Linked DNA regions of Pelodiscus sinensis. Each later gene encodes a partner of the first gene's protein in a complex. Links are inferred from orthologs where the notes say so. Each region holds a gene or a part of one and is shown on either strand. Other genes may lie near its edges. The genes, in order: AP3D1, AP3B1 and ARF1.

What was found.
Region 2: the proteins of AP3D1 (region 1) and AP3B1 are in contact, whole or in part, in a cryo-EM structure (PDB 9C5C), measured with the Homo sapiens proteins. The link is inferred for Pelodiscus sinensis from reciprocal best matches to the Homo sapiens genes AP3D1 and AP3B1. Residues at the interface, in NP_003929.4 of Homo sapiens: Lys352, Leu442, Ile446, Ser471, Tyr483, Trp487, Glu491, His517, Ala520, Val521, Gln524, Asn525, Lys528, Val561, Gln562, Ser563, Ala564, Leu566, Glu567, Gln569, Glu570, Arg571, Ser573, Cys574, Gln577, Leu578, His581, Ile582, Leu585, Lys588; in NP_003655.3 of Homo sapiens: Asn75, Lys466, Lys467, Gln470, Val494, Ala497, Ser498, Trp501, Leu531, Leu534, Gln535, Asn538, Lys542, Asn567, Tyr568, Asp569, Asp572, Arg573, Arg575, Phe576, Ile577, Gln579, Leu580, Lys586, Gly588, Ala589, Leu590, Ser591, Tyr593, Lys596.
Region 3: the proteins of AP3D1 (region 1) and ARF1 are in contact, whole or in part, in a cryo-EM structure (PDB 9C5B), measured with the Homo sapiens proteins. The link is inferred for Pelodiscus sinensis from reciprocal best matches to the Homo sapiens genes AP3D1 and ARF1. Residues at the interface, in NP_003929.4 of Homo sapiens: Lys48, Asp50, Phe77, Ile80, Glu81, Ser84, Asp107, Met110, Leu111, Thr112, Thr113, Asn114, Gln115, Arg117, Lys118; in NP_001019397.1 of Homo sapiens: Tyr35, Ile46, Pro47, Thr48, Ile49, Gly50, Phe51, Asn52, Val53, Glu54, Trp66, Lys73, Ile74, Leu77, His80, Tyr81, Gln83, Asn84.

What each region holds. Positions count from the first base shown.
Region 1 is NC_134729.1:27,439,457-27,443,200, forward strand, and holds the start of AP3D1 (AP-3 complex subunit delta-1), read left to right. Parts: upstream 1-1,136; 5' UTR 1,137-1,355; coding exon 1,356-1,451; intron 1,452-3,744. UniProt on the Homo sapiens protein: Part of the AP-3 complex, an adaptor-related complex which is not clathrin-associated. The complex is associated with the Golgi region as well as more peripheral structures.
Region 2 is NC_134716.1:86,592,842-86,596,585, reverse strand, and holds the start of AP3B1 (AP-3 complex subunit beta-1), read left to right. Parts: upstream 1-882; 5' UTR 883-1,333; coding exon 1,334-1,470; intron 1,471-3,744. UniProt on the Homo sapiens protein: Subunit of non-clathrin- and clathrin-associated adaptor protein complex 3 (AP-3) that plays a role in protein sorting in the late-Golgi/trans-Golgi network (TGN) and/or endosomes.
Region 3 is NC_134712.1:252,867,029-252,870,772, forward strand, and holds the start of ARF1 (ADP-ribosylation factor 1), read right to left. Parts: upstream 2,595-3,744; 5' UTR 2,450-2,594; intron 1-2,449. UniProt on the Homo sapiens protein: Small GTPase involved in protein trafficking between different compartments. Modulates vesicle budding and uncoating within the Golgi complex. In its GTP-bound form, triggers the recruitment of coatomer proteins to the Golgi membrane.

The DNA.
Region 1 (3,744 bases):
TGGAGGAACAGAACAGAGATAGGAATAGGCAGATGGGTGGACATTAGGACCCAGTGGTGCCCCAAATTTTTGGGTGTCCTACGCATCTGTGTATTCTATGCATCAGTAAGGGTGGCCCTGTTAAAGAAGCCTGATTTTCTGAAAATCAAGCTCCATGCAAGTGAGTCAATTTACCCTCTCCAAACACTGACCTGCCCAAAGCTTAACTCTGACAAACCATTCATGACTTAGTGTTGTGTATTTGTACAGGGTGTAGCACAATGAGGCCCCGATCTCTGGCGGGATAAGAACAAAATAATAATAAAAGAACCGCTCCACTACAAACGTTGTTCTACTGTGGCATCCAAGCTGCTCAGCAAAGCTGCTGCTACTTCCGCGCCCGCTAGAGTTGTGTACATCTGTGTCTTTTACACGCTTGGGCTTTGTCTACACGCAGGGTTTCTGCATAAGAAGCGTTTTACAGAAGAGCGTTTTGCCAGATGAACAGTGGCAATGTTCCCTCTCATTTTTTCCACCCATGCATGGAATAAATTTTGTTCTCTGCACTGGGACCTGTGTGGATGTGCACCATCAGTAGAAACAGGGGCTGCCGGAGGCGTGTGACTCTCTCCCGGCGGGCCGCCCCGTGCTGAGCGTAGGGTGGTACCGGGCAGTCACAGCAAAGCGTCCACGGGCTCAGTTTCCCTGCAGCAGTGCGGGGGAGGGGGGGTGGGGGCTGCAGCATCCCCGCCTCACTGGGCATTAAGGGCCCCGAGTCAGCAGAGCACGTGCTCGAGGCCGGCCCTGTCGAGCGCATAGCGGGGCCGCTCAGCTTGTTGGGGGTGGGGCCCTTGCGGGGTGCAGGGGGAGGGGAGAGCCACTCCCCAACCCCTCCCCCACAGGCTGCTGGCAGCCCCGGGCGGGTGACGTGGAAGGCGCCGCCGGGAATCACGGCCGGGGGCGGGAGGGGCGGGCTCAGAGGAGGAGAAATGGGCGGGGCTCTGGGCCACAGGGGCGGAGCCAGAGGGAGCGGTGACGCGGCCTCGGCGGGAGTGGGCGGGGCCAGGGGCGAGGTGGGCGGAGACACGGGCGGGGCTGGCGCCGGGCGGGGGCGTGGCCCGGCGTGCGGCGGCCGGGAGGGGGAGGGGCCGAGCCCTCAGCTGACCGGCCGCCATTTTGTCAGGCGCTGGGCTGAGCGGAGACCGGAGATTCCCGCCGCCGCCGCCGCCTGAGCCCCCGGGGCGCGCGCCGCCTGGCCCCGCGCGGGATGTGAGCGGCCCGGCCCCGCCCCGCCCGGACACGCTCGGCAGCGGCCCCGCCGCCCGCCCCCCCCCCCGGCCCCGCCGCCCAGCGCAGGCCCCGCCGGCCCCGCCGCGATGGCGCTGAAGATGGTGAAGGGCAGCATCGACCGCATGTTCGACAAGAACCTGCAGGACCTGGTGCGCGGCATCCGCAACCACAAGGAGGACGAGGTGGGCCGGGGCGCCGGGCCGGGGGGCTGGGGGGGGAAGGAGCCTGGGGGCCTGATGAGGGGGCTGGGGGTTGGTGGGAGAAGAGGGGCTGAGGGGGGAGGGGAATGGATGGGGGAAGGGTCCTGGGGGCCTAATGGAGGGGGCTGGGGGTTGATGGAAGAAGAGGGGCTGAGGGGGGTGGGGGATTGATGGGAGAAGGGGCCTGATGGGGGAAGGAGCCTGGGGGCCTGATGGGGGGGCGGTCTGGGGGTTGATGGGAGAAGAGGGTCTGAGGGGGGAGGTTCTGGGGATTAATGGGGGGGCTGATAGGAGAGGTGGGTTGGTGGGGGACTTGGGGGTTGATGGGGGAGGGGGGCTGAGGAGGGCAATGTAGGACCAGGTGGGAGTTGCGAGAAGGGGAGTGGGTAGGGGGCAAAATTCTCACAATAGGAGCTGCGGGGGAGGGAGGTACCTTGGGAGCAGTCTGAAGTACAGTGCCCTGCCCCATAGAGAGCCAAGGGCTTCCTTAGATCTAACCCCAGACCTTTGCCTTCTAGGTTCTGCGGGGTAGGTGGCCGCTCCTCTCCTTTCACTGTGGGACCCCCATAGGATTTTGGGGGTGGGTGGCAGCTCCCTTCTCCTATCTCTTTGTGGGGGCTGCGTCCCCCTGTAGGCTTTGGGGGGAGTATGATGTCTATCTCCACTTGAGACCAGGGCTGCCCACAAGGGAACAAGAATCTAGTGGAGAAACTATCTTGTTTTGTCTCTTGTGGTGGGGGTGATTCGGGTCTTCTGCCCCTCTGTGGGCTGTGTATAAGCCTGAGGCTTTTTCTCATCTCGACCCCACATCAAAATAAAAGGTGCCTCTGTTGCTGAAAAGGGGATGTTGTCAGTGGGAAAGTGCAAGCAGTAATGAAAAATGAGGAAGAAGATTCTTGTCCAGGCTAAGCCAAAAGGGAGAGCATTCAAGGAAGCAGGCAGTGGGGTAAGAAAATTAAAAGGGAGGAGAAAGATCTGGCATATGGGAAATTTTTGTTGTTGATATCATGTTAGTGTTGGGGGAGCTAGCCTTGGTTATTTACAGCCTGTGATTTGTAAGTTAAAGGAATTCCTGTCTGATGTCTTAATGAAGTAAGTGACTATTTTCTAGGGTAAGATTGAAGCATAAGAAAATCAAGTTCAAGCATAATTAAGCTTTTTCGTTAGTCATTCAGTTTAGCTTATGTCTAACCACATTTTCAGAAACGTTAATATATAGGCTTATTTAAGGTAGAAACTGAAAGCACTTGAATGTCACCACCTGATATATTCTACTATATTATTTGAGTTAGATGGAAAGTGTGTAATTATTAGTCCAGAACTGGTTTACTTCAGAAGTTAGAATTCTTTTATCAGTTGTTGTCACGTGGTAACTGATCAGGAAGTCCTTGGAGTCTTGGCACAAGTAAACTTGGTATTGGAAACTTTTATATGAACAACTTTCTTAATTATCTTTTTGACAGAATATTAGTAACTCAATGAGAGTTTAGTGCGATAATGCTGCCACAGGTTGGTAAGATAGAACATAGCATCACAGTTATCAACTGTGGAAGGGATTAAGAAACAAATGTAGACATTGGTTGCTAGAACAAATAATTCGGTTGTAAAACTCATTTGTGTTGCATGTTTTTTATCACGGCTGCTCTCAGGCCAAAATGCAGTGTTGCTTTCCAACAGACATTCAACTTTCCAAATAGCTTTAGATTTGGATATTACACACTGATGCTCCACAGTATTAGGCAGTATTCCATAGAACCACATACCAGGAAAAACTACTCAGTCTTAAACTACATAATGTAGTTTAAAGGTGATTTGGTATTGGTTTGGTGGCCTAGGAAGATGTAGCTGTTTTCAAGGACTAAGTGCCCCCCACCCCAAAAAATAAGTTCTGAGCAGCGTGTAGGATTTTATGAAAGAGACAGTTTTTGTTAAATATGAAAAACTATTTACAAATGTTTATGTGCATGTTTGTTGTGAAGGTGATGATATGTATATTAACTTCTTGTAGTTCATGCTAGGGATATGAAAGAGTAGTCAAATAGTTGACTACTTAATAAGCCTAGGAGTCGACTACTCATGTTTCCCCCCCCTTGCTGCCACTTTATCAGAGACAGCAAGGACGGGGGGGGGGGGGTGACACAGGAGCTGGTGCCGGCGGAGCCAGCTCAAAATCCAGTTCTCTCTCCCCCTCACCTCCCCCGCACTGTTTTTGTGGTGCTGGGGGCAGGGGACACAGAGGCGCTGTGGGCTCTTACTATATGTAAAAGGGAGAGGC
Region 2 (3,744 bases), on another chromosome or scaffold:
GAATATTTTTTGTTTCTAACCAGAGGGAAGGCGCAATTACCGAACTGAAACCGGACACCTGGCAACTCTATGTTGCCCCCAACCCCGAGCCTCCCCTTGCCCATCAGGCTGGAAACACCCCCACTGGGCTCTACTTGCAGCCTCTCCCTGTTTGAGCCCCTTCCTTCCCCACCCCCTCCTAAGAGAGGAGAAATCTCCCGCCTCTGTACCGCCTGCCTACTGTGCAGAAGCCTGCGTGAGCTCCCAGATGCATGGGGGGTGGGGGAGGAAGAGGGTGCTGAGTTCGAGCCACGGATCACCTGTAAGGCAGCCGTGGACTACTAGTGGCCTGTGGACTGCACTTTGAGAGCCACTATAGTAAGGGATCAAAAGTCCCTTACACGGGGTAGGAGACTGAGTAGTGGCTGCATAGCTTGCAATGCAATCATACAGAAGCCACTATCTATGTGCCAAACATGCCCCACTCTCCCGTACAGGTGTTACAGAAGGAGAGGCACCACAGTGACCACACACTAGAAGCTTGCAATACAGGAATGCACAGCTACATTGCAAGACTGGGGCTTCGGTAGACTGGTCCATTTACAAGAGGCTTCCAGGGTGCACTGCAGGAGCTAAAATTGCAAGGACCGCGGGCTTTGACTACAAAATCCTTGTTCCCACGGGGAGCACGGGCGGTCCAGGGCCTAAGTGAAATGCCGAAAGTAACCAGTCATAGGAAGGTGGACTCCAGGTTACCAGTGGCACCCAGCTGCAGTGCGATGCTTCCCAGAGAGGCCGAACGAAGGGGGGAGCAGGGGCTGCCGCTATCCGACCTGTGCTGCGTGGGGCTAGGCCGCGGCTCAGCGAGGCGGACGCAATCTCCGTGTGCTCCGCACGGGTACGTCTGAGCCCCACCGCCCGCCTCCTTACGGACCGCGGCTCTGGGAATCAATCACCGCCGCCCTTCGCACACACCCTCCTGCTGGCGCGCGGACCGGGCGTCTGCGCGGCTTTCAAGGGCGCAAGCAGAACCCTAGGTAAAGCCCCGCCCCCCCTGGGCGGCAGTACGAGTCCAGACTGTTCCTTTCCGCCCCGTCCTACACGCCACGCCAACAGCCTGGGCGGAGCTTCACGTGCCTTCTCACGTCCCTTCCTGGCCAGTGGCAATGGGGTTGTCATAGGAACGTTAGAACTCTGAGGCCGGGAAAGTTCCGCTCCTGCAGCCCCGCCCCATCATGTGACGCCTGCACCCTCCAGCCCCAACCGCTGCCGTTAGCTTCCGGGAGGACTCCGGTGCGCGCGTCACTAAGTTCCGTTGGGCAGCAGGCGCCAGAGGAGCCGCAGCAGCAGCAGCATGTCCACGAACAGCCTCGGCTACAACGAGCAGGGCGGAGAGGCGGCGGCGGAGCTGGGGCAGGAAGCGGCGGCCTCTCCCGCAGCCCCGGCCTCCGTCCCCGCGGCCTTCGGACTCTTCAGCAGCGACACCAAGAAGTAAGGGAAAGGGGGCGTGGCGTTGGCAGAGGGCGGGGACAACGGGGGCTGAGGATCGGGGCTGAGTGGAGGGCGTGCGGGAGTCCGGCTGCGAGGCAGGCAGGCGGTCGGTCGGTCGGTCGGCCGGCCGGCCGGCCTGGCGTACGCTGCTGGTTACCGCGTTCCTGTGGCCAGCTGCATACGCTGAATGAGACTCGCTGGTTGATCGACCCAGCTCACACAACTTCTAAAATGCAAGTTCCTTGGGCAGCTGGAGGCACGACCATGAACGTACCCAGAACAGCAAAACACGGAACGCCAAGTGTCATTTTAGAACCGGCCGGTACCGACGTTTCCATGCAAATTATGACATGCGAGCTACCATCCAAATAGACTATGGTAGTAAATCGGTGACTACCTTTTTTCTGGTTGCCATATAAAACATTTAGCTACTGTATCTGTTTAAACAGGTGGTGCCTTTGTTAATGGATAACAGAAATACCCTTTCAAATTATTTTAGTTTGTAGTTCGTCAGCAGTTTTGTGCTTAAAACCCGTGAAAGATCAGTTTCTTTATACAGGTAAATAAGCCTTCCAAAAGGCGCAGGTATTCTTACTGCATGGTTGTAGTTATGATGTTGTAACAAACATCTACATGGGTTGGTGTTAAACATAATGCGGAAGATGTTTAGTTGTATATTGTGGTCTCAAGACAAAACTGAGACACTAGAAAATTGTTGAATTTATCATGGAAACTAAAGGCATATTATCCTAGAAAGTTAGCATCCTCTTAAACAAATCTGGAAGTTAAGAGAAACATTTAGTATTAAATTGCTGAAAGACAAGGTGGATGAGGTAATGTTTTATTGGACCAATTTCTCTTATATTCCTGAGGAAATTCTGTGCATGATGTTTTGGGGTTCTGCAAATTTTATTTGTCAATAAATTTGGCGGCACCAGCATAGCAGTGAATAGCAGAGGTGACTTGCTGTATGAAGGTAGATCATCCTGTAGCCCCCTAGAACAGTGGTTTTCAAAGTGCAGTCCATGGACAACAAGTGGGCTGCAGCCACTTTATAGGCAGTCTGTGGCTTGAATTCCGTTCCCCTCCTCACTAAGGATGTTAAATTGCAGTTAATTTACTATTTGAGTAGTCAAGGGAATTTCTATTGAGTACTCAACTAGTCAATAGCCAATACCACATTCCACCAGGGGGCTCTTGTACATTTCAAAGGAGGAATGCAGAACACAGCATGCAGCGGGAAGTTTCTCTGACTCTGGGCTGCACATGGGCATGCTAGTTTGAAATGTACAAGAGTCTCAGTGGGGGCTCTTGTGCATCTCAAAGCAGAAGTGCACTCACGGAGTCCCAGGGTCAGCGGGGAACTCCGCAGCTGACTGCATGTTCTGCATGGCATTTCCCGAGACCTGTGGACTCCCCAGCTAATCATGGGTTTCGCAGAAACGCTGCACAGAGCCTGGGATCAGCGGGGGAGTCCCCAGCTGACCCTGGGCTCCAGGCAGCGCTGCTGCTTTGAAACACTGCCTTAGTATTTCAAAGGGGCAGCGCTGCACAGCTGATCCTGGCATCAGCTGTGTGGTGCTGCCCTTTGAAGTACCCCCTCCGTCCCCCCTTTGCTGCCTCTATCTGACGGGAGGGAGGGAGTCAATTAGTCTTTAACATCCTTACTCTTCACCTACTCAGTGGGAAGCCTATGCTGTCACTCCAGTCACATGGTTGCCATGCAGCCACAAGTCTGGAGCACCAGCTCTCGCTTCCTGCTTGGAGTGGTGGTGGTAGAAAGGTGAAATAAGCCCTAAACTTCCTTGCCCGACCGGGATCACGGAGACAAGCAAATCAAGTAGTGTGGGGGGCGGGGCAGGGGAGCAGCAGCGCATGGAGCTGCTTGCTCTGCCTCTTTCCACGAGCTGTGTCTGGTGGGAAAGGTCAGGGCTTTTTTCACCTCTTACCTCCCCCTCCCCTCCTGCATGCACTCTTTCCCTGGTGCTCCAATTGGCTGACCAATGGGAGAAGCGGGAGGTGGTGCTTGGGAGAAACAGAGGTGCAAAGCCAGGTAAGCTCCCCCCTCATGCCAAGATTGCATACTTCCAGCTTGCTCTTGCATCCTCCCTTGCTCCTGCACCCTCCCTACTGGCCACACTCAGCATCCTCCCTCCTGGCTAGACATCCTACAACAAGCACCCTTCTGCACTTCCACCTGGCTCCTGCACCTCCCCCCTGGCCAGACATCCTACTCCCAGCCTGCTTCTGCACCCTACCTCCCACTCAGACCTT
Region 3 (3,744 bases), on another chromosome or scaffold:
GCGGGGTCTCAAAAGAAGTACAAAGGAGGCTGGGCAAGGGTATTTGGGTTTGAGGTAGATCTTGGATTGCACTTAAATTCAAAAATTGATCTCATGCTTTAAAAGGTTGGAGACCACTGTCTTACAGTAATGCAGCTAGCTGCACGCACCTCTAAGCTCTCTAATGTCACTACTCTAAGCAAAGAGAAAGAGCTATCCAATCCATAGGAATCATCTACCCCTAACAAGCAGTATTGACTGTCAGCAGCTCTCCTAATAGTACTTTCAACACCGGTGCTACAGTTTTATCACTCAGTGGGGTGGCCTATTCAAGCCACCAAATGACATAACTTATGTCAAGTTAAACTGTAGTGTAGCCAGAGTTAGTGTTGACCAGATTTGCCCACTGTAAAGAATCCAGAGTAATGAAACTTTCCACTAAGCAGGTGCAACAGAAAAAGGTCATTTTGGAAAGATGAGTGAAAGAAGAAACCTGTGAATGTAATGAGTTCTTCATGGTAATTATGCCCTTATTTATACCTATGAAACCTTAATACCAAAAAACAGTTTTACACAGGGGTGCCACAGTGAACAACAGTGCTGAGTCACAAGAAGGTGTAGAATCTAGTCTACTATTAGCAAAGCCCTGACTACATTTTGTCAGTAGAGTCAGCAAGTATGACTCAGATCTACAAAGACCTGAGTTAGAATCCACCATTTTTATAGTACCCTTTCAGATCAGCATGCAAAAAAACCCACCTTTCAGATCCCTTTGTATAAAGTTATTTGCTGATACAAACTGATGCTGAGATTAGAAACAGACATTACACCCAATTCAAGTTTGCTGTATTAAGAACCCAGAGCAAATGAGTGGATACCATGATCCACTCAAGCCATCTACTTATGGACACAACCTACCCTGCACCTGATTCTAAAGGAGTTTTAAAGAGTGTCAAGTCAGGTAGTTTCCTCACCTTTTCATCAAAAGTTATGACTACTGTAAGGGGTTGGGGAAGTAAACAACACTTAAACTTTGCAACAATCATGGATGTGCAAAGTAGAAGTAACAGCATCAAACCCTAACACTATTTTCAGAAAATAATTTTCCTTCCATACCTATTTAATAGTGTATATAATGGCACCATTTTGAGAAAGAAAAAGAATATTTGGAGAAAAATTCTAACTTCCTTAAAGGAAGAACACAACATGGAATGATCCAAATTTGAGTAAGACACATGATTAGAGTATTAAACTTCTGTGGCAAAAGCAGTCATAGAATGGTCTGCTACATAACCTTAGATAAATCACTCAACTTTAAGCTCTCAGTTTCTCATCTGTACAACAAGGATAAACAATAATGTTCTTCAAAGAGGGGCTCAGAGACTCAGTGGCTGCATAGCAAAGTCAACTGTTCAAATAATATAGCTATAGGTGAAGCGGATGGATACAAAATAAAACTTCTGCATGCACGCAAATCAACCTGCGGAATTTGCTTTGCCAGAACTCAAACTCAAAATACTGTGCCGGGATGATTTTATGCCACGATAGTTTTAATTACACCAAGATGGAGTCAACCCATTCAGGTCTCATGGCGAATGCATGCTGCCAATATAGAGCCCTGTACTACTGGCAAGGTGCACTGTGTGGGGGTTGAAACAAAAGACAGGACAATGTAGCACTTTAAAGACTAACAAGATGGTTTATTAGAGGATGAGCTTTTGTGGGCCAGACCCACTTCTTTCGTGGGACTTCCAAGCGGGTCTGGCCCACGAAAGCTCATCACCTAATAAACCATCTTGTTAGTCTTTAAAGTGCTCCATAGTCCTGTATTTTGTTCCAGCTAGACCAGACTAACACGGCTACATTTCTATCACTATTCTGTGCGGGGGCTGCTCCCTTCCCGGGGTGCCACGCATGGGCCGCAGATAGCAGCGCACAGGCCGAAGGCTGATCTGCTCTGCGCCAGCCGGGGGCAGGCTGCCTGCCTGGCTCGCCCACCCCACGCCGTGCTGAAATCCTGGGGCGGGGGGAAGGCAGCAGCTCGACGCCCCGCTGGGTCAGCCCCTCTCAGAGAGCCCCCCCCCCCCACGCTTTCCCAGCCCGCGGGCGCTCGGAGGGGGAGAGCCGGCGACCCCCCCCGCAGCAGAAGGGCCGGGGCAGGGCCCTTCCGGGCTGCGCTCCGCGGCCAGGCCGGGGCGGAGGGCGGGGCCCCGAGCGGAGTAGGGGGATGGGGGCGGACCCGCGGTCAGGCCCCGGCGGGGGGGGGGGGGGGGGGGAGCTAGGCCTGGCTCCCCACGGCGCCTCCCCCCGCGCGGCAGGGACACGCCAGCCCGCCCCCGCTGCCCCGGGTCTCCCGGCGGGCCGGGCCCCGCCACCCAGCGCCGGGCCTCAGCGCGGCCTGCTGGGCCCGGCGAGGAGGGGGGGGGCTACGAGCCGTTGGCGGGGGGGGGGGGGGCGCGCGGCCGCTTACCCGGCGCTGGGGTCTCCTGCGGGCTCTCGCTCGGGGCCGGCTGCCTCCTGCGCTGCGCTCCCGCTCCCCGCCCAGGCTCACAAGATGGCGGCTCGGGGCGGCCACGTCAGTGTGCCAGGGCGGCGCGGGGCACGACGGGTAAAGCCCGGGGGAGGGCGGGGCGCGTGAGGCGGGTGGGGGAGGGGCAGCGGCGGGCGCAGGCGCAGTGTGGGGAGCCCAGAGGGGATGCGTTGCGGGGCCGTGACGCCCTCCCCTGAGTGACGTGTCTCCCACTCGCCCCAGCCCAGCGCCCGCAGAGCCTGCTCAGGGGGCGGGAGCAGAACAGGGAATCCCCCCCCTGTCGCCCGTTCCCAGACAAGCACAGGCCATCCCGACCCATCCTGGCTGACAGCCCCTGAGGGACCTAACCTCCAACTCGCTCCTTGTGGAACCCTGTGACAGTCCGAACCTTCACCACGTCCTGCAGCGAGGAGTTCCACAGGTGGACGGCGCGCTGATGCGTGAAACCAACAACTTCCTTTGGTTTGTTTTAAACCTCTTCGTTTCCTTTGGGCTACCTCTGCCCTGCAACGCTATTGCGGGATACCGGAGTATCCCCAACTAGCTATCCCGCGCCTTCACAGCAAGCCCGTTCTTTCGGGCTCACTAGTCTGATAGCCCTGTAAACCTCGTTCCACGAGGAATAAGGGGCGTTTCGGAAGTGCCGGGTTATTTCAAAATTTGGTGCTGTGTAGACAGCGCCAAATAACAAAATAAGCTATTTTGAAATAAGGTCATGATAAGATACGCAATCTTATCTTAATAAGCTCAAATTGCTCATCTTACTTCAAACTACGGTGCAGTGTAGACATAGCCTTGGTGACCCTTAGTTCTTATGTTATGGGAACAAGTAAATAACTTTTCCTTATTCAGTTTTTCCACACCAGTCATGATTTTATAGACCTCTGTCATAGCCTCCCTTAGTCTCCTCTTTTTTAAGATGGAAAGTCAAAGTCTTTTAAATCTCTCTTTATACGGGACCCATGCCCAACCCCTAATTATTTTGGTTGCCCTTCTTGAATCTTTTCCAATGACAAGATATCTTTTTTGAGATGAGGTAGTACCTGGAAAAACTTAAAAAACAACAAATAGTCCCGCAGCATCTTCTAACAAAAAGTGTATATGATATCATGAGTATTCGTGGGCACAACCCACTTTGTCAGATGAATGGTGTGTAAGGGGTCCAGTTTTCAAATACCCGGAAGCCCTAATCATTGGCCAGTATATCATTATTCTTACTCTTGATTAGAACTCTT